2 linked regions of the Caenorhabditis elegans genome follow. The protein of the gene in region 2 purifies or fractionates together with the protein of the main gene of each other region. This does not show direct contact. Each region holds a gene or a part of one and is shown on either strand. Other genes may lie near its edges.

Region 1 (10,353 bases), on a different chromosome or scaffold from region 2:
GTTTGAGTATGTGGTGACTTGTTGAAATCTATTAAAATGCGCCACTTTCCATTTTTCCCAGAAATCCATATTTTCAGTATCCCCGTCATGAATGTCTTGTTGCATACGACGAAGAGCTCAGTTTCTTTGGAATAATGCCTGATTTGATATCAGATTGTTGCTATGAAGACTATAAAGATAAAAAACGAGAAAATCAAGAAAGATTACAAGAAGAACGTGTAGAAAATGCGGATATATCAACATTAAAATTGTCTCTTAAAGAGAAAATGTGGGCGGCATTCGAGAATCCGCACACAACATCAATAGCACTTGTATTTTATTATGTCATTGGATTTTTTATTGCTGTATCAGTGATGTGTAATATAGTGGAAACAATACCTTGTGGGTATGAGGATAATGTGTCTGTGACGTGTGGAGAAGCCTATGAAGAGCAATTCTTTGTTATCGATACAGCGTGTGTTATCATTTTTACGATTGAGTACTTTTTACGGTTGATTTCTGCGCCGGACCGAATCAAATTTATGAGGTACGTTTCTTTTAATATCAATATGTAAACTTCTCACACTAATAAGTTAAATATTCACTGATTTTATCAAACTCATTTGAAACAGCAATAAAATTTTGAATTTTCTAATTATCCAATTTTGACGCTTTTTGATTACCTATCGGCTTTAGAGACAATTTAATCAACCAATTATTTAATACAAAAATAAATTAGCAAAACGCAATTAGGAATAATAATCAAATAAAAACGAATTACCCAATGCTATGGGAAAGTTCGCGAAATTCAAGATTTGAGCTAAAATAATCGTAATTCTTTTCAAAATCTTGTGCCGCCAAAAAAAAATTGGAAAATTTTTTGAGAAGTCTCATTACAAAATTCAACCATTTCAGTATGACCCTCTAGCCCGTCTTTAATGCATTTTTATGATTTCAAAAGTTTTGTTCAAAATTATCAGTTCAAAAATATAGAGATGTTTCTCATAACAATCATGAAACTGTAAAATAATTAAGGACACATTTGTCAAAATTGGATAACATGTTATTTATTCGTCCTTATTTTTTTAACCATTTAAATGGTTTTCTTTTTTCAGGTCAATAATGAGTGTAATCGATGTGATTGCCATAATGCCTTACTACGTTAGTTTGGTACTAACTGACAATAAGGATGTATCCGGCTTGTTTGTCACTTTAAGAGTTTTCGTAAGTTTTTTCTTTTGTTAATCCTTAAATTGAATATCCAAATATTTTTTCGAACATTCTGATAAAAATCATTAATTCTTTGATCAAATCCTTCTAAAATTTACAGCGTGTCTTCCGAATATTCAAATTCTCACGACATTCCCAAGGTCTTCGAATTCTGGGTTACACTCTTAAATCGTGTGCAAGTGAACTTGGATTCCTTGTATTTTCACTGGCAATGGCAATTATCATATTTGCCACTATTATGTATTATGCGGAGAAAAAGGTCGACGCGACGAGATTTACCTCGATTCCGTCAGCTTTCTGGTATACAATTGTGACTGTGAGTTTTTCTTTGTAAAATTAAGAAACGGGGTTGAAATTTTGATTTTTACGTTAAATACTCTCCATAAAACCTTCAACGTTTTGCAAATACCTTATCCCAAATGCACTAGGAAAATGTAAATTTTAAAGTTAATATTTGCATTGGAAAAATTAAAAATTAAAATATTTTTTTTTTAATTATACAAATCACTGAAGACTAAAGGTGAAACCTATTCATACAACACAGTCATTGTTTTTCATAATAAAAAATTAATTTTTCTTTCAGCTAACAACTCTTGGATACGGAGACATGGTTCCATCAACAATAATGGGTAAAATAGTTGGAGGAGTATGCTCACTGTCTGGAGTGTTGGTTATTGCTCTTCCAGTTCCAGTTATTGTCAGCAATTTCTCTCGAATTTATCATCAAAATCAGAGAGCTGACAAGAGAAAAGCACAGAAGGTATGGTTTTTCGTTCAGTTGTAAAACCTTTTTAAACACTTAGTGATTTTTTTGCAAATTTGTTGGATTAAATTTAATCAATTTTCAGAAAGCCCGTCTTGCTAGAATTCGGATCGTTAAAAACGCGTCTGGACTAGCATTATTCAATAAGAAGAGAGCTCATGAAGCTCGGATGCTAGCATTTGAACAGGGTAAGTTGGTTTTTTTTTTCATTAGAACATTTCGTATTGCCGGCTTAAGTTAGTTATTATTGAGTTGTCACAAAAATATTTAACTTTGGAAATATAGAAAAGTATTCCATTTTGTTTTTCGGTCTCTTGGCATTTCTGTTGGCTCAAAAAAAGCAAATATAAAACATTAAAATTAAAAATTAATAAAAACAGTTCGTGATTCCGCTTGCTCAAGAGGGCACAAATTTTGAATCCGGTATAAAAAACAGATTCTGTGGTTTTTTTTTATTCCGTTTTTTTATATTTAATGTTTTAGGTTTTCGGTTACTTAATTTATTAGCAATGTGAAACATTAAAAAAAAATTATGTGTACAAAATTCTAGATTATAATTGAGATAACTCTAAAAAGTGCATTTTTGCAGGTCATCTCTCTTTCGATGCTCTCCGAGACGAAGATATCTTCGAAATCCAACATCATCATCTTCTTCAGTGTCTAGAAAAAGCGACGGAACGTGAATTTGTTGAATCAGAAGTGATGTTTGAAGGTGGAAGAAATACTCCTCCGCCCAGTGAAACAGCTTCATTGAAAGGAAAAACAAAGCGTAAAAGGCGATTGTGAGTTTTTGATTTTCAATCCTTTGAAGATTTATTAGTCTCTGGATTTCAGGGTAAAAAAATAAGAAAAAATTTTATACTATTCATCAATAAAATAAATTATCATCAAAAAAATTCACTGATGCTTTCTTTTCGTTAATGCATTTAAAATGGAAAATAATCATGAATGAAAATGAAAACTGTAGAAAATATTGTTGCGTTTTAAAATCCAAAATTCAAAAATATGCCTCTGCAACCCTGGCTAAGATGTCTGCTTGAATTCCCACCAAACATAGAACAAGGATATTAGGCAGCGTTGAAATACCATGTTTTCAAAAATTGTAGTTTCAATTATTTCTTGAATTTTTTTGAGTTTCTTCTTTGTCAGCAATATTTTGAGTATTTTAAATTAGAACCCCATTCGAAAAGTGAGTGTACCACGAAATGGTCTCGTTGGTGCAACTTTAGAGGGAATTCAAATAGCAAAATTGACAAAAGTGGAAAAACCTTAAATTCTTGATGTTGGATTTACTTCTTATTTTTGTCATTTTTCCTTGGTGATATTTTTGATTTTTGGATCACAATTTTGAGTTAAAACAACAAATCTCCTGAAATTTATTTTTTTTAGATGCTGTGTTTCAAAAGAAAATGAAGAAATGGAAGAGTTGGATCGAGAGACTCGTGTAACATTCAATCAGAATATGGATCAGGTATAAACTAACACCAGTTATTTGTTGAAAATTATATTATTAATTTCAGATTTGTGAATTACCAAAACCTGATGAAATGGAACTCAATCATCGAAATAATGACAAAATTTGCGTATCGCAACTGTAATCTACTTCTTTATTTTATTTTTTTAAAATGATTTCTAAAAATCATTTTCTATAGAAAATTTCTCTCATTGCTCTACCGGTTCCGTCTTTCTAGAAGCTAGTTGTTCTTTTACAAAAGTTTTCTGAAATCATCCCTCCCAACTATTCGGTTTCCCCAATCTCTCATCAACGATGCAATTTTGTTTTTTTCTGTAATTTTTACTTTTTCAAGTTAGAAACAAATATATTTCCATTGAACCCGTTTCCCGAAAAACTTCATATCGCTCTTTTTCTTTTTCAGTTCGAGGTGACTTTTCTCTAAATTTTCCCCGCTACTAGGAGCCTCTCCGATGATCTGCCCATTGGTGGCAGATGTCTTTCATTTTTTTTTTGATTTTTCAGATGGAAATATAAAATTGAAGTAAAATTAACTTTTTATGTGCAGTTTTTTTTTTTTCAATTTTCCAGGTCTGTCGATAAAGTTTTATTTATTTTCTAATTTTAGAAAACCACAAAGGGAATTACTTTTTTTTAACTTAGTGAGCTGGTTCATTTGTATCAGCTCATTGCTGAAAAAATGTAACTGTACAACATTCCGCTTCATTCCAATTGCATTTTAAACTACAAAAAACTTTATAAACAGATACATAAAATAATGCAATTATCAACAGTTTATCGTCGGGTTCCGTCCTCAAAGAAGATTCCTCCATCGATAGCACAATACTTTGGACAGATTCCCTTCTCTCCAACACTTCCTGCTTGTCCGGCTTGTCCAGCTGGTCCTGGATTTCCATCAGATCCTGGTTGTCCTGGTTGTCCAGATGGCCCCTTTGGTCCTGGTTGACCTGGTTGACCATTTTGTCCTGGAGTTCCTGGTTGTCCAGGTGGTCCTTGTGGTCCAGCCTCTCCTGGTGCACCTGGTTCTCCTGGAACAAGTGGCTCAGATGGAGCATCTTGACCTGGGTTCCCATCTTGCCCTGGTGCTCCTGGTTGTCCATTGACTCCTGGTGGTCCCTTTGGTCCTGGTTGACCTGGTTGTCCATCTTGTCCTGGACCTCCTGGCTGTCCATCAAGTCCAGCATCTCCAGCTGGTCCTGGTGGTCCTTGAACTCCTGGTGGTCCTTGTGGACACGGTTTGCATGGTGGTGGGGTAATTGGGTCACATGGAGCTTGTGGTGGACGTCCTGGATTTCCAGGAAGTCCAGCTACTCCAGGCTTTCCTGGACGACCTGGCTTTCCTGGGGTACCGACGGGTCCAGCTGGACCTGGAAGACAGCATCCAGAGCAGGATCCTCCAGCGGCCCCAGCAGATCCAGCGGCACCAGAATCTCCGTAAGAAGCTTGACGGGCGGTACGGTTGGAACGGATCGAGGAGACCTCGTTGAGAATGTCTTTAGCAGAACCCTTACAGTACCGGATCTCGTGATGAATACCCTTCTTCACGTGCGAGACGTAGTTGTAGACCATCGGAAGTGTGATACATACCTACAAAAAAGTTCATAAATGGGTTTTTGGACACAGTTTAATTTTTAATTCACTTCCAAATTATCAAAGAAATCATAATATTAGTCTTGTTTCTACGTTTTTACTCACCGAAAGTACTGCAACAACACTGAATGTAACAGCAGCATAGGCCACAAAGCGATACGCTTTAACACGAGTCTCCACCTCCATTTCTGAAGCCGACAAATTGTGGCTTTGCCCGTTTCTCTTATATATTGTTCAGTTTTTCAACGGTTTTCTCAACATCCGATACGGCTATGCTAGTTTTGAGATTCTAACCGATGCGCTGTGAACGAAAAACATCACAAAAAATGGAAGGATAAGAGGTTTTTCCAATTTTTCAAAAGACAATCTTATCAGTTTACATATAATTTGTGATCTTTTCCGTTTCTTTACATCAACAATTGTGGTTTAGCATGTAAATTCCGAGTGAATGCAATCATTAATTCCTTTTTTATATTAATTTTTTATTTGGCCATGGCGCCACCAAATTTGGTTTTTTCCAGAGATGCAAGTCCGCAATGTGTCGTCAAGTCTGATGCATGAAGTTCACAAGGTAAACGCGCTCCACTGCACTGTGCCTTTATCTTTCAAATTTATTTTCCTCGCAGAAAAATTCCAACAGTTTGAATTTTAATCGTTTTTTTTGCGGTTTTTTGTCTTATTTTTCAAATAATTGTCAGTTTTCTATTTTTTAAATTCAATATTGACTACAACGACCCTCTTATTATAACGAATTTTATGCATTTTCCAGTATGTCGGAACAAACAACACAACCGACAACAGAAGACCAACAGTCGGCAGAAATAGCAGTAAAAGAAGAGGAAATTGCAGTGAAAACTCAATCCGCACCTGCAGGTTCGGTTTACTCGTAAATTAATCTTTTAAACTGAAAATTTCAGATGCTCCAGACATTCATCAATCGACAATTAAGGAAGCAGACGAATCAATGCCAACAAAAATTTCTTCTGGAGAACCACCAAGAAGCCAATATATAAGATTGCGTGGGCTTCCATTCAATGCTACCGAGAAAGATATTCACGAATTTTTCGCTGGGCTCACGATTGAACGAGTCAAATTCGTATGCACAACTGGACGCCCGAATGGTGAAGCATACGTGGAGTTCAAGAATACCGAAGAAGCTGGTAAAGCTATGGAAAACGATAGAAAAGAAATAAGTAACCGATATATTGAAGGTAGGCGTGATTCTAACTAGAAAAAAACATTATTAAAGCTATTTAATTTCAGTTTTTACCGTCGAAGCGGACGAAGCTGAGTTCGAATTTCGTCCAGATCCAGATTCCAATGGAGAAGTTAATCACGTTATTCGATTGCGTGGTGTTCCATGGTCTTGCAAAGAAGATGATGTTCGTAAATTTTTCGAAGGTGAGTATAATAAGTATGTAGAAATAATCCAAATAGTCTGCCGGTGAAATGTAATGTACAATGCCTAGATTCCCCTTCCCCTCTTGAATTTTTGGACGTTAACTTATGGGTTTCCTTATTCTATCCAGGGCTAGAACCACCACCGGCGGAAATTGTAATCGGCGGGACGGGTGGGCCGAGATCGAGACCATCCGGGGAGGCGTTCGTTCGATTTACGACGCAAGACGCGGCCGAGAAGGCGATGGATTACAATAACAGGCACATGGGATCGAGGTGGGTATTGATGATGATGATGACTTATGGTAACTGCTGATTACGGGTTCATTTTGGTGAATTTTTAATTTTTAAAAAGTAATTTGTCTTTTTTCAGATACGTTGAAGTATTCATGTCAAGTATGGTCGAATTTAATCGAGCAAAAGGTGGAGGATCGGGAGGTGAGATTACAGTAGTTCACTTTAAAGGCGCATACTTGCTTTTAGGCGGGTCTTGCCACGATTTCCAGTATTTTAATTAATACTGGACCTAAACTGTCAAAATGTATATTTCATGTGAAAACTGAAGTCCTTGAAATCTCGCATTCTAATTAGACTTTTAAAGTGCACAGAAGAAGACATGATGTACCAAAAAAGGTGTAATTCATCGCAATTTCACAAAATCTTCTTAAAGGCGCACCGGTTTATTCTGATGGGCCTCGGTGCGCAATACGGTAGATTTTCGCATTTCTGTTTTTTTTTTTTTTCTTTCATTTCTCAATGAAATTATTCAGTTTTTCGCCAATCTTGCCCTTCCTTTTTCTCATTTTTCTGATAAAAAATAGAAAACGAGACAAAATTCGCAAGAAAAGAAGTGATTTAATTCAAAAATGCAAGAAACAGCAGCAAAAATTAAATAAAAACTACCATATACTCATTTTCGCGCCAAGACCCATCTGAATGAGCCTTTATTAAAACATGTCGAAATATTTGAAAAGCAAATCTGCGCACATTTCTGTTACGGTGCACATCAAATTTCAACATTTTAAAAATTGTCTCTTGAAATGCTCATTTAGTTTACTATTTATTGATATAACAAATCTTGATAATAAATATTTTCAATTTTTATTTTACAGAATACTCGGCATCTTACGAAAGAACTGGAATTCGCCCACTGATGTCCGTGGATTCAGGATATGACCACGGAAGACGAGGTGGTGGTGGAAGATACGGCGACAGCAGCTATGATCGTGGTTATGATGACTACAATCGTGGAAGTTATGGCGGACGTCGGGATTATGGATACAATGGTGGACACGATCAAGGAGGTCGCAGTGATTATGGAAGAGGAGGCGATGATCCGCTGAGGGTATGAGTATTTTTCTGCGATTGTAAAATAAATTATTTTATTTTTCAGGTGTATATGCGTGGTCTTCCTTATGATGCTGATGATCATGCTATCGCTGCTTTTTTTTCTCCACTTCGATGCCATTCAGTCAAAATAGGAATCAACGAAACTGGTCGTCCATCTGGAGATGCTATTGCGGAATTTGACAATTACAACGATCTTCAAGTCGCTCTCTCGCGTAACAATCAAAGAATGGGAAGACGGTAATTTGAAATTTATAATCAGAACATGGAATAATTATTGTTATTTGTAGATATGTCGAACTGTTTGATAATCGTGGAGCGCCTGGTCCAATGCGTCGTCTTCTTTGGAAAGAAACAAGTGGCACGAATGCATCAGCTGCTCCAGCGCCTGATCCGATTCTTAACGGAGGAAGACGTGGCGGAGGGCCACCACAACGAGACTCTGGCTACAGGGCAGGTCCTCAAGCTATGCCACCATCATACAGAGAATCAAGGGATCCATATGGCCCACGGGAACCACGAGGATACGATATAGAACCCAAATATGAACCACGAGGCATCCCACCACGCAGTGCTCCAATTCGTGCACCACCAGCTGCGCATGGCCGGGCTCCTGATACGTGGGGAAGTTATGGAGCAGCATCTACTGGTCCGAGTTATGATCAGAGCAGTGCTGCCGGAGGTTATGCTGCAAGCTGGGATGCTTATTATGCTTCACAAGCACAGTCTGCGTATTCTGCAGAACCTGCATCCACATATCCCACAGCTGCTCATTCTGCATATGGATCAGGCGAATCATATTCGTATGGAGCATCTGCTGGAGGAGCTTACGATCGTCAAAGAGAACCTAGAGACTCACAGCCAACATGGGCTCAGCAACAACAACCGTCTCATCACAGTGCTTATGGAGGATGGGGAGCTGGAGCTGGAGATCATCGAAGTGGATATTAATTATCTTCTTTTTTTTCTTTTCACTTCTGACTTCCTTTTTTCTGTTCCTGCCAAAATCCCAGTTCTTTCGATTTTCCAGACAAATGAGCATTGTTCCTTATAATCTAGTGTATCACTTTACTTTTTTCTCTGTTCTCCGAGGTCTCGGTTATTTATTATCTTGTTCTCATGATTTTCCAACGCGAACGTCTTATTTTACCTCTGTTCTGTTCAACTATCAAAATATCATGCTTTGATCTTCCTACACAATTTTTATTAATTAATAGATTTCTGAATTTGAGACTTTCATTGTTTTTTTTTTCTGTATCCTTTTTGATATTTAATGGCTGTTCGCCCCGCGTTTTAATATGTTACAATTTGGAAATTCTTATTTCTTTTTAATTAGGAAATGAGACATGGATAATTATTTCACTTCTTGGTTGTTTCATAGAATGTTGGAATGTTCAATTATATACTTGAGTGTACACTTTATTTTGTAAAATGACGATTCTCTATCACAGTCTATGCAGATGCGGCGAAAAGTCGAGACATCATGGCTGGAAGAGCTGAAAAAGCGTGTAAAATATCAAGAAACAAGTCGTCTTCAAATGGTCGAGATTCGAGAAACTTTGCTCGATAACGAAAAAGAATTGCGAAGTTTAGATTCAACATTGAAAAAGACGACGAGTTTTATGAAAAAAGTGAAGCTTCTCAGTGCGGCCACTGTTCCACAATTAATTGAAGAATTATCGAAATTGAATTTAAGCAAATTTGTTGAGGAAATGGCGTCGGTGGGTTCTTGATTTCGAATTCCATTGAAAATCGGATAATTTTTCAGGGAATTATAGAGACAAAATTGAAGTTATCCGATATTCCGAAAGTAACAGAGCTCTGCCTTGCAATTTCTGCGAAATATTCAAACTTCAGTGAACAGATGGCTGGGGAATTCAAAAAAGTTCTTCCTGTTAAAAAGAGTGACAAAATTGCAAATGTTGCAAAATTGAGAGTGGATATTATGTTAGATTGCATTAATAAGACAGTTTTCATCTGAGAATAAATAAAATATTTCCAGCTTCCTCGCTGAACTTTGCCTGTGTGGAGTTTTCAATGAAAAGGAAGGACTTCAAGTTCTCGGTGCTGTATTAAGTTATTTGATTCAAACAGATAAGACTGATTTTGTCAATGTTGGATTATTGGCTACAGTATCTAGAACTGTTGGATGGCAAATTGCAAATATTGTGCCAATTCCAATGGATGATGCTGAAACGGTCGAGATTCAAGACGGTTGTTATCTTTTTAATCAGGAGCGTATATTCATTATCAATGTTTTCAGAAGAACTCCCTGAGTCATCAGCTCTCTCAGTTGAACAGAAAAAGTCGATTCGTGAGCTCTTCAAATCATACTACGATTCACTTTATTCGAAAACCGAGAAAACGTGTTCGGCAAGAAATAAGGCGATGAAGAGAGTTAAACGACAGGAAAGAAGCCGTGGAGACGCTGGTGATGAGGAAAAGACAACTTTGAATGATCTTCAGTCTGAATTGGATTCTCTGCGGAAAATGGTACAAAAATTAATTACCCAATAGGAAAATTTGAGAAAACCCCTCATTTTAGGCTATAGAGATATCGTCTGCAATCGGT
Region 2 (9,552 bases):
GGTGCCCTCCGCGCGGCTACCGCGCATACTCTCTTTAACCCAAACACACTCTCGCGGCTCTCAATACCCGGCGAGGCCTGTTTTTTTCTTATTCCGCTCCAGGTTGACATGCATGTGGAGCACAAAAAATCGGTGGACGGTAGGGGTGAACTCATTTCGAAACGTTTATGAAGAAAGATGATAAATTTTTGGAAAAGGGTAAATCAGATTTGAAAAAAATCAGAAAAAAATCAGATTTGAAAAAAAAAATTAATTTTAGAGGTAAAGTTAAAAATTTCCAAAGATTAGTATATATCCTACGGGGAAATTTTTCAACTCGTTTGTATTGTTTGTAAATGATTAGATACCAGATTACCACATCTCCATATTACAATTTTTCAAAACGTTCGTGAATTAATTATTTGCAGTCAAATCATAGTTTTGTCGGGAAGCTCAAAAGCAATTGCTTGTGATTTTTTTGTTCCACTTATTTTCCTTTCAAAAATAGCCCGGTTTAAACGTGTGAAACTAAACTAAATTTCTCAAAATGTTCAAATCTTTTGATAATTTATTATGGTCATAATAAATTATCAAAAACATAAATATTGGGTATCACTTATTCAAAAACTCCGCATTCCAAAGTAAGAGAAAGTTTGGATTGATAAGTATGAAGGAATTTTGAAAACTTAATGCATATTAATTGTGTTATCTATATGTGACTCAAAATCAAAACAGGAAGGATTGAAAAGCTTTACAATAAACAAAATTGTTAGCGAAACCTAAAATTGCATACCAGGGAGGTGAAAAGTTTGAATAATGAAAGAAAGGGAGCTTTAGGATTCTGGGGATTTCAGAGAATTTGAAAAATGACAACAAAAGGAAAGGGATCGTGTTCTTGTCAGAGGTCAAACTTTTTGATGTTGTCCGAAAAGTGGCCCATCTCCTCCTCACCCTCCTCCTTCTCACTCATTCCCTCCATCTAGCCCCTATTTTGCCCCCTAACGAGGGATCGAAACAGAGATGAGGGAGGCCGATTTCAGGTGAAAGTGCTGGCGCGGTGCGTCACGAGAAAAGTGAAATGAGTGAAGAGCGAGGATCCAGGTCATTGGGGTGGCCTTTTCCTTCTCTCGTATTCCCTTGTTGTCTGTCTCGAAGAAGCCGTGTACGATATGTTTCTGTCTCTCTCATTTTCTCTGTCTGCCTCGTAACCCGTAGGCTTCTTCACATGATCTCTTTTTACTTCAACAAGATTCTGCGGAGCGTCGTTGTCAAGAAGGGAAACATAGTGAAGGAGACGGTGACTGTAGGATGAACGACGATTTTCTTTACCGACTAGTTTACTTTCGTTCACTTTCCCGGACATTTGCAAGAAAAAACACATCGGTAGGAAGAAGCAGAAAAGATGATGTGTACACTATTACTGTATGAAAAGAAACGTGTACAACGCCACACTTACTGTCATTTCACCTTTTGACGAGTCTTGATGAAAACGAAAGGTCCAGCTTAAGAGGATGATCAGGAGAAAGAATAGGGATGAAGTATGAATTTTGAGGAAAAAGCTAGAAACAAAAAAGAAATGAAAAAACGAGTAAAGCTCCGTGCAAAATTGAAGGATCGGTTACGAGGTAATTGGAAGGTTTGTATGGAAACCGAAAAAATCTGAGAAGATGATTAATGGCAAAATTCAGTTTCCAATCTAAAAGTTCCCAACAATTTCAACCAGGAAATAAGGAAAGTGGATATTGTTATGGAGTCGTCGGGTCAGATTTGTTATCGCTTGTTCGGCGGCGCAACCGATCCTTCATCGTCATTGTTGCATATCTCTAAAGCTAGTGGCGATTCGCGTCATAAAAGTTATCACATTTGCAAGAGATAATGATTGTGGTGTCATTCGTCAATATCAACACCTTAGAGTAGACTTTGATAAAAGAAGAAGATGATAGCGATATCAATAAAAAAAGATTGGCATTTTGTTAGTTGTTTATATGTATGAGTTGGTGGCAATTTAATCAAATGATGACTACGACCTGTGAAGAAATCATAGAAATTCATTTAAATAGTGCTGAAATTACCCAATATTTTAACAAAACGTTTCAAAGTATTTTATTTCCAGTCAAATTAAATTTGCACCAGGTACCGAGAAATCTAATGCAATGTTGCATGTTCAGACCGTACAATGTTGAAATATAAATGATTAAACATGATTAGCGGGCAAAACTGTGACAGTTTGTTGATCGTTTATGTATTTTTGATGCTATAAACTTTGAACTAAAAGATGGATAATTTAGCTTTGGCCTTTAAACCCTAGTAAAATGTCGAAACATTTTGGTCTGCACGGAGTACATGAAATCAATATTCAAGTTACAAGAACAGATTTCCAAAACACCTAGTAGAAATCGGAAAACATATAAAATGGAAAAGCATGTACAATTTTTTAAGCCATATAACAGAAACTTTTTTTTTGAAAAGTGACAATATAGGTGAATGACCCAATAAAAGTGCGTTCGGTGAAATTTTGCTTGAGTTGAAGAAAGTATTTGTTTGCACACTCGCATGAATAGATGAGACCCAATAATATAGGTCGGATGAAACACCTTCGGATTTCAAATCTCTTCACCTCTTACTGTTCTGGGTCGTGGTCACCAATAAAAAAGCATGTTTCACTTTCGCCTCTTCCACTACTACAACAAATATATTGGCGCGGCCGGGAGACAGCGTCGATCCTACGCCGGTGGCATGTCGTGTCAGAAAAAAACGCAAGACGGTCAGCGAGATTATGGAAGAAAAATGGAAAACGTTGGTTTTTTCTCTAAAAAAGGAAAGTTAGCTAGTGGTGGTATGCGCGGACAGTATTGGAAGCGTCATCAAGATGCGCAACACTTAAAATTTTTGGAAGATAGCATCGCCGAATATTTGGCCTCAAAAAAGCCATCTTTAATAGGCTGAAGGAGGCGATAGTGAATATGGAAAAGTGAAATACTTTTCAAAAATAGTTAGTAAGGAGGTGCATACTGAAAGTTTAACTTTATTCTCAAAATTCTGAAAATAACAAGACGTTTTCAATATATCGTCTATTACAATAATCTCATTGACATCTAAATTCAGAATACCGATATTTTTGTATGATTTCTTATAAATGAAATATTGCTATTAATTTCATACTACAAACAACTTAACACAAAAACAATAAACTCTCCGATTATCTGATAACTTTTAAAATATTGTGGTCTACTACGGGTCAAAGGAAGCTGAGCTCAATTCGGATAGATACAAGTATCAACTAATTTTTTCTATTCATCTAGGCAAAATATGTTTTCATTACAAGTAAAGTTGTGCAGAATTACATTAGCACCGACCGGCTCGCAAACTAAATATTAAAAATTGCAAATTCCAAAACTCCAGAAATGAACCAGAAATTTTCAAATTTTTGTTCCAACTGGTCAGTGCCTCAAGTTTTTAACATGTTTTTTTGTAATCATAATTTTGCTTGTGTTTTTGCCACATGAGCTGTTTAGAGTCCTGTTACCTGGCACCTAGAAATTGTTCGTTTTTTTAATAGTTTGAGAATAAAAGTTTTAAAAAATATAGTTTTAGACTTAAAATTTTATGTGATCAAATTTTTTAATCAAGTGTGACGCTATTAATAGAAAATTTCATTTCAAAACTGATAATGCGAATTCAATCGAAACATAGCTTTTTAGAATGATTTAACTTATACAAATAGTTTTTAAAAGGCAAATTAAAAATTAATGATTGCAGTCTCTGCTCTCTCCAGGAAGGATTCCTTCTAAATTCCAAATTCCAATATCAAAAGTCTTCGGTGTGTCAGTGTCCGAATAAATGTAGTTGTTTGGCAATTCAAACTTCCAACGTCTTTGGCATGGCTGAAAATAAGTTTTTGTGTTGCATGAATAATTAGAAACTTACATTAATTCCGTCATCACAATCGTGGTAGATTTTCAGGTGAGGATCAATAGTTGTGAGTTCCGTGGTGGATCCACTCAATTCGAACTCTCCGTTTGCGTTTGTATAGCCGCTACCCAAATCATCATCAGGGTCGGATCCAAAGTCGTCATCTATCAGCTTTACTTGAACATTTTTTACTGGAACATTGCCACATCTAAACGCGCCTTTCACCTGAAAAAAACTGTCTAAATAATTTGAATTTCTGATAAAGCCCACTCTGTAGTTTTGACGTCCAGAGTGCGATTCCGATGCAGCCAAGACAACTGATAGAACACATGTTCCAAGGATCAAAAGTTTGGAAATCATCTCTGAATTATACAAATTTTAATAAGGAAAATTAAAAAAAAAAGATAGAAAAGTTGGTCAGAAACCAAACATTAAAGATGACAACAATTTTAAGAACCATATTTATTTGTTAAAGTTGAACATTATTCAGTTAGTGAGCACAGCTTCTACTTTCGTTGTCCAATTCGATCTGAAAAAAATATGATTGATAATTTTTGACTAGAAAATTAAATTTGCCAGCTTTTCAATCATTGCGTTCATTTGAACTTGAAAACAATTACTGAATATGATTATTAACATTGTTTTTTAATAATATTGCTAAACATTGTGAGGGGGTTCTTTTTGCCGACCCACCTTCACTTTAACTCAATGCAACTTAAAGCAAAATACCCACGGACGACACTATGCAGCGTTCAAATCAGCATGTCAAATTTATATTACCGTATATTCTCTATTAGTTTTGCACCTCTATTAGTTTTGCATCAAATTAGGTGTCCGAAAATTAGTTTTGCACGCCTTACTAATAGAGGATATACGGTAAATATAAAATAGGCTATACAAGGATTTACATATAGGTTGAGCCGCACACCTATATATCGAATAATTTTTCGAAAACTTATTATAAAACCTGATAAAAACACAAAACAATAAAAAGGTACGGTACACGGTTTCGTTCCCCCCAAAATGATTTTTAATTATTTAACACTACCTTTTTAATTTTAATCCACACGTGAATGTTTATTTTAATACTGTTTTCATGTTTAGGCTTAGAAAATAATTTCCCTAAGCCTGAGAATGAAGAAAAAGTTCACGTCTCAATTAGAAAATATGGAAATCACTTTGGGGGGGGGACGAAACCCATAAATACCAAAAGTACTTTTAATCAATCACCAACCTCCAAATTTAAAACTCCTAGATCCATGATTTCCTTCACTTCTGGCCCATTAGTAATGTATTTTGCTGGTATCCGGATAACCCATTCTCGTTGGCAAGGCTGAAAAAAGGTTAAAAATTAATATTACAAATTGGCACCTACGCTTCCTTGATCATTGCAGTCATGGAAAATTCTTAGTTCTGGATCAATTGGTGTCAGCTCCATTGAAGACCCAGACAACAGAAAGTTTCCATCGTCATCGGTTGTTTTTTGATCCAATACATCGTCTGGGTCTGGGCCTAGAAATTCAATTGGTACGTCACAAACTTGCAATTAATCGAGGATCACTAACCATTATCTTCATCAAAAAGTTTCAAGTTCACACCAGCAGCTGGTTTACTTCCGCACATGAGTCTACCTTTGACTCCAGTCGATTGAGTACGGAATGCAAATGCTCCACCGATTAATAGTAATGTAAGAACTAGAGTCTTCATCATCTATTACTGAAATTTAAAGTTGAATTTCATATTTTTGGGAAATAATCTAGTTTTCGAGAAAAGGTATCAATTGTCAAGAAAAAATATTTATTGAAAGAGACGAAATGTTGAGTTAATGAAGTAGATAACGAAATGTTGACAGTTCCGAGAAAATTTAAGTCAAACACAATAAAATCAAAATTGAGTGACAGTGTTGTTCAAATTTTGATAAATGGATTTGGGTCACTTGTCTGAACTCACATTTCCGAGTATAGAAATCATGAACTATTATAGAGTAAAAAGTACAAATTTCTCTGTGCAAAACCGAATGTTTTTTTTTGGTTTTTGAAATTTTTAATTGTTTTGAGACCCAACAGACCCCAACATGTTTGTTTTTTTGATAAATTACTGAAATGGTTAAAAAATCTTTTGTGGCTGATCAATCAATTCACAAAAAGCATTTAAATAAACGGGATAATGTTAGATAAACACACAATATATACAAGAAGTAATGATAAAATAAAAACGATTTTCCAAATTGTACTACACAAAAAGTTGTCAAAACTGGAGAATTTAGTTAAAACTGTTTATTCTAAATTTTGAACCACCATAAAAATTTTGAGAAACTTTTGAAAAGTCTCATTTTGAATATTGTTTATTTGAGCACATTTTACGTACGTACAAGCAAAACAAAAACCAGAACCTCCTCCTTTATGGTGTCTTATTTGACGTTCAGAAAAAAAGTCATTGGACTTTTAGTCTTTTGAATCATATTCAAAAAAAAAAAATAGAAAAATAATAATCAAACAAAAACTGGAAATGGGGTTAAAGTCTAACGTCTATAATTAAATGTTTTCTGAAAGTTATAAAATCAAAGATAAAACGCGATAAAATATCATAATCAATACGCGAGGTCAAGTGATAACGTTGAAGAAAGTGGTTGTGAAATGAGCTAGTGGGGTGCCATAAGGCGTCGTGTTGACCGAAAACAAGACGACAGTTGGTCCGAAGACTCTCGATTTATTGCATTACGAACGTTTGGAAAGCCACATGGTTCAATAGGAAAATGAATTGAAGAGATCAGATTGATTCATCAGTTTGCGATATTTGATAAATCAAGAGAAAGATTAAGTATATTTCGACGGCGTAAACTCCAGTTCCCATCTTCACTCGGTAAAGGTGCAGAAGGCAGAACTTCATCTGGGATATCTAAACTAGTAGAGTTTTCAGCTACATTCGCAGAAACTGTTGCAACTTCTGGGGGCACAGTTGTTGTCTTCGTGTGTTTCGTCATCTTAAATTACATATTTCTTAATATATAGAAGACTAAAAATGAACTCACCTTTTCTCTGAAAAATTTGAATATAAACTCGCCAACGAAAAGAGCTAAACCAAGTCCAGCACCACCAAGAAAAACCCAAAATGCTCCCTGGGCACGTTTCAAATCCAAGTAACTTTTCGGACCGATGGTGGTAGAGTTGCACTCATTTATTTTCTGCATAGCAACGTAGGATCTGTAGTCTGCTATCCATTTTTGTGTGAAACCTCGTTCAACCATTTCTCGAATTCTGGAACAGTTTTTTTCAAATAAAATGTGACATTTTCTAAATTATAATTTGTCCCCTCTCAGTTATTTTTCTCAAATTTTTGGTGGCTTTGTTTTGTAAAGTGCAAGATGTTCTAGCGCCACATAATATTTCGGATGTTTTTTCGGAGGTTATTAAAATATGTAGATGTATGTAACTATAATATATTCAAAATATTTTGAGATTCAAATATATTACTAAAAGTTATGAACACTTCTCAACAGCTGATTTTTTTCCAATTTCATATTTTCCAATTCCCTCTCGTACTAACTTTGTTGAGAAATACGGCGAATAAATTGAGTTTTTCACAAGAGGAATGGAAAGGTAAACAGGCAAAATTCCGTCATTAAAGAGTATCACTTTACAATCGGAATACGCGTAAAAGTTCAGTGTGGCCATTGGTCCAAGAAGTGCATATCCTGGATTTGCTCGAACAAATGCAACACCTGAAAATAGGAATTACAGAGTTTTAAATGGAATATCACACGTGGTATTCTCAGTCTGTACAACATATTCCGTCCTACCAGTTAGTAAAACAGTTAATATTAAAAAATTCCACAAAAAGATAAGAAACATTTCTACGAAACTAGAAAAAATACAAAATACGGGTAGAGCGTATTGCTTTTTTTAAAACTATACTGTCTGTATTTTCCTTTCCTTATATAACGAAGCGTAACAAAGTAAGACACAAATCTTACAAGTAATAGGTCATATTTAGTAGAGCTTGTTGCATTATTAACTTAAACAAATTAAAATTGGCTGCAACAGTATTTAATAATGAAAGTTCTCATAAACTAATCAAAAGATGTTCCATGATGGTTGAAAAATTCGCAAAAAAAACCTAGATATATCCCGACCGCTGCGATAAGAAGCTGACATAATTTGGCCCTGTCAACAATTATTCATTTGCCATAAAATAGTTGCAAGAATTCATAATAAAATTCAACTTATGAGTTCAGTGTTAGTTCATTTAAGCAAAAACAATAACCACACACTTCACTATTTTTTTAATAAGTAGAAATATTTACCTCTAGCTATTCCATTCACGTATTTCACTTTATGATTCACTATCATCTCATGCCATAAATCTCGGTAAACAGGAAGTTTTGAACGCTGAATTTATTTTTATTTTGTTTTTTTTTTCGAAAAAATTGTGTAAAACTAACTGCAATCATTTCAGTACGAGTGAAGGAATTTTCGTCCATTACAATTTCAAATTTCCCCTGTTTCACTAATCTCACAAGTTGATCAATGTCTGCAATAATCATTAACACAAAGTTCGACATTGCTGATTGCTCACTTTGAAATGGCACATTAGTTTTGTCAACGGCGAATAGAGCCACCAGACTTCCCGTGAATGTGGCACTGAGTGTAATGCTTGCCAACCACCACAATGCAACGAGAACTCGACAACTCCAGCTTCGTGGTTGTTCTGGTAGCCCTGGAAACAACTTTTTTCTATTCAGCGCCAATGTAAATTAATTGTTTTCACGCATACCTTGTTGAACGAAAATCGAGAAAAATACCCAAATTGATTCGAATGGCGTCACTGTCATTTCTTCGTAAACCTTACGAATAATATTTGTCATCACAAGAAAAATGACACCAGAAATTAAAATCACAGCTGCAGTTATCACCCACACTTCCCATGAGAAAGGCTCAGTAACAATAAGAAGGGTATCATCTTCATATTTTTCTGGAGACCTGAAAAAACTTGAATTTTTGACAATTTCGGCACTAGTCTATAAAAATAAAAGCAGTCGCTAGAAAAGAGAATTATCAAAAAATATAAATATGCCGGTTTCTATACATTTTTGAGTGTAGAAATTTATTTTCTTGCAAGAAGATCATTTTAATTTTAAACTGTATTGCCTTTTCTCCAAAAAACATTCACGGGATACGTTGAAAAAAATTAAAATTGTTATTTTTGAACAATAGTTCGGTTTGAAGTGCCTAAAATTTCAAAAACTGGTACTTGACGAAGTCGCCAATTGCCAAAATTTGCCTTTTTCCGCCGACCCCTGATTACCTTATCATTATTCCTGTTGGTTCGAATTGAAAAGGATACGTTAAATCCGCAATCACACTTCGATCATACTCCATTATTGCACCTCCTGCGAGCAAATCTACTTCCTGAAATGAATTTGAATTTAAGATACCTTGAGTAAAGCTAATATTTTTAGCTTTTTTCTTACCCCTCTAACTAATTGCCCAAATGCTCCTGTCCATGATCCATTGAGATATTCACCCCAAGTACTTCCCAATGCCGGTAATATCTTTAAAAATTTGAAGCTCTTCAGTTTGAATTTCTTATGCTCCCACAAACCTCATATGTTAAATTTAGACGTTTTCCTATTTCTTTAAGTATCTCCATGACAACTCCAGG

What was found. The genes of interacting proteins can lie anywhere in the genome.
Region 1: the proteins of ttr-35 (region 2) and hrpf-2 fractionate together in Caenorhabditis elegans (co-fractionation; one large-scale study listed by BioGRID). This does not show direct contact.

What each region holds. Positions count from the first base shown.
Region 1 is NC_003282.8:6,371,976-6,382,328, reverse strand, and holds hrpf-2 (RRM domain-containing protein), read left to right. Parts: upstream 1-5,805; 5' UTR 5,806-5,806; coding exon 5,807-5,909; intron 5,910-5,953; coding exon 5,954-6,247; intron 6,248-6,299; coding exon 6,300-6,437; intron 6,438-6,565; coding exon 6,566-6,710; intron 6,711-6,807; coding exon 6,808-6,872; intron 6,873-7,546; coding exon 7,547-7,779; intron 7,780-7,827; coding exon 7,828-8,021; intron 8,022-8,071; coding exon 8,072-8,732; 3' UTR 8,733-9,195; downstream 9,196-10,353. Other genes in the region: shl-1 (BTB domain-containing protein), read left to right, coding at 78-526, 1,095-1,203, 1,310-1,525, 1,793-1,969, 2,058-2,160, 2,562-2,754, 3,362-3,443, 3,493-3,570; bli-6 (Nematode cuticle collagen N-terminal domain-containing protein), read right to left, coding at 4,221-5,033, 5,142-5,222; smg-3 (MIF4G domain-containing protein), read left to right, coding at 9,242-9,502, 9,550-9,728, 9,784-9,995, 10,045-10,274, 10,327-10,353.
Region 2 is NC_003284.9:6,506,986-6,516,537, reverse strand, and holds ttr-35 (Transthyretin-like family protein), read right to left. Parts: upstream 4,254-9,552; 5' UTR 4,252-4,253; coding exon 4,162-4,251; intron 4,117-4,161; coding exon 3,907-4,116; intron 3,864-3,906; coding exon 3,726-3,863; 3' UTR 3,620-3,725; downstream 1-3,619. Other genes in the region: ttr-36 (Transthyretin-like family protein), read right to left, coding at 4,382-4,420, 5,126-5,224, 5,267-5,403, 5,457-5,601; glr-8 (Ionotropic glutamate receptor L-glutamate and glycine-binding domain-containing protein), read right to left, coding at 6,674-6,874, 6,923-7,148, 7,438-7,612, 8,195-8,279, 8,333-8,421, 8,467-8,607, 8,665-8,870, 9,196-9,299 and 2 more.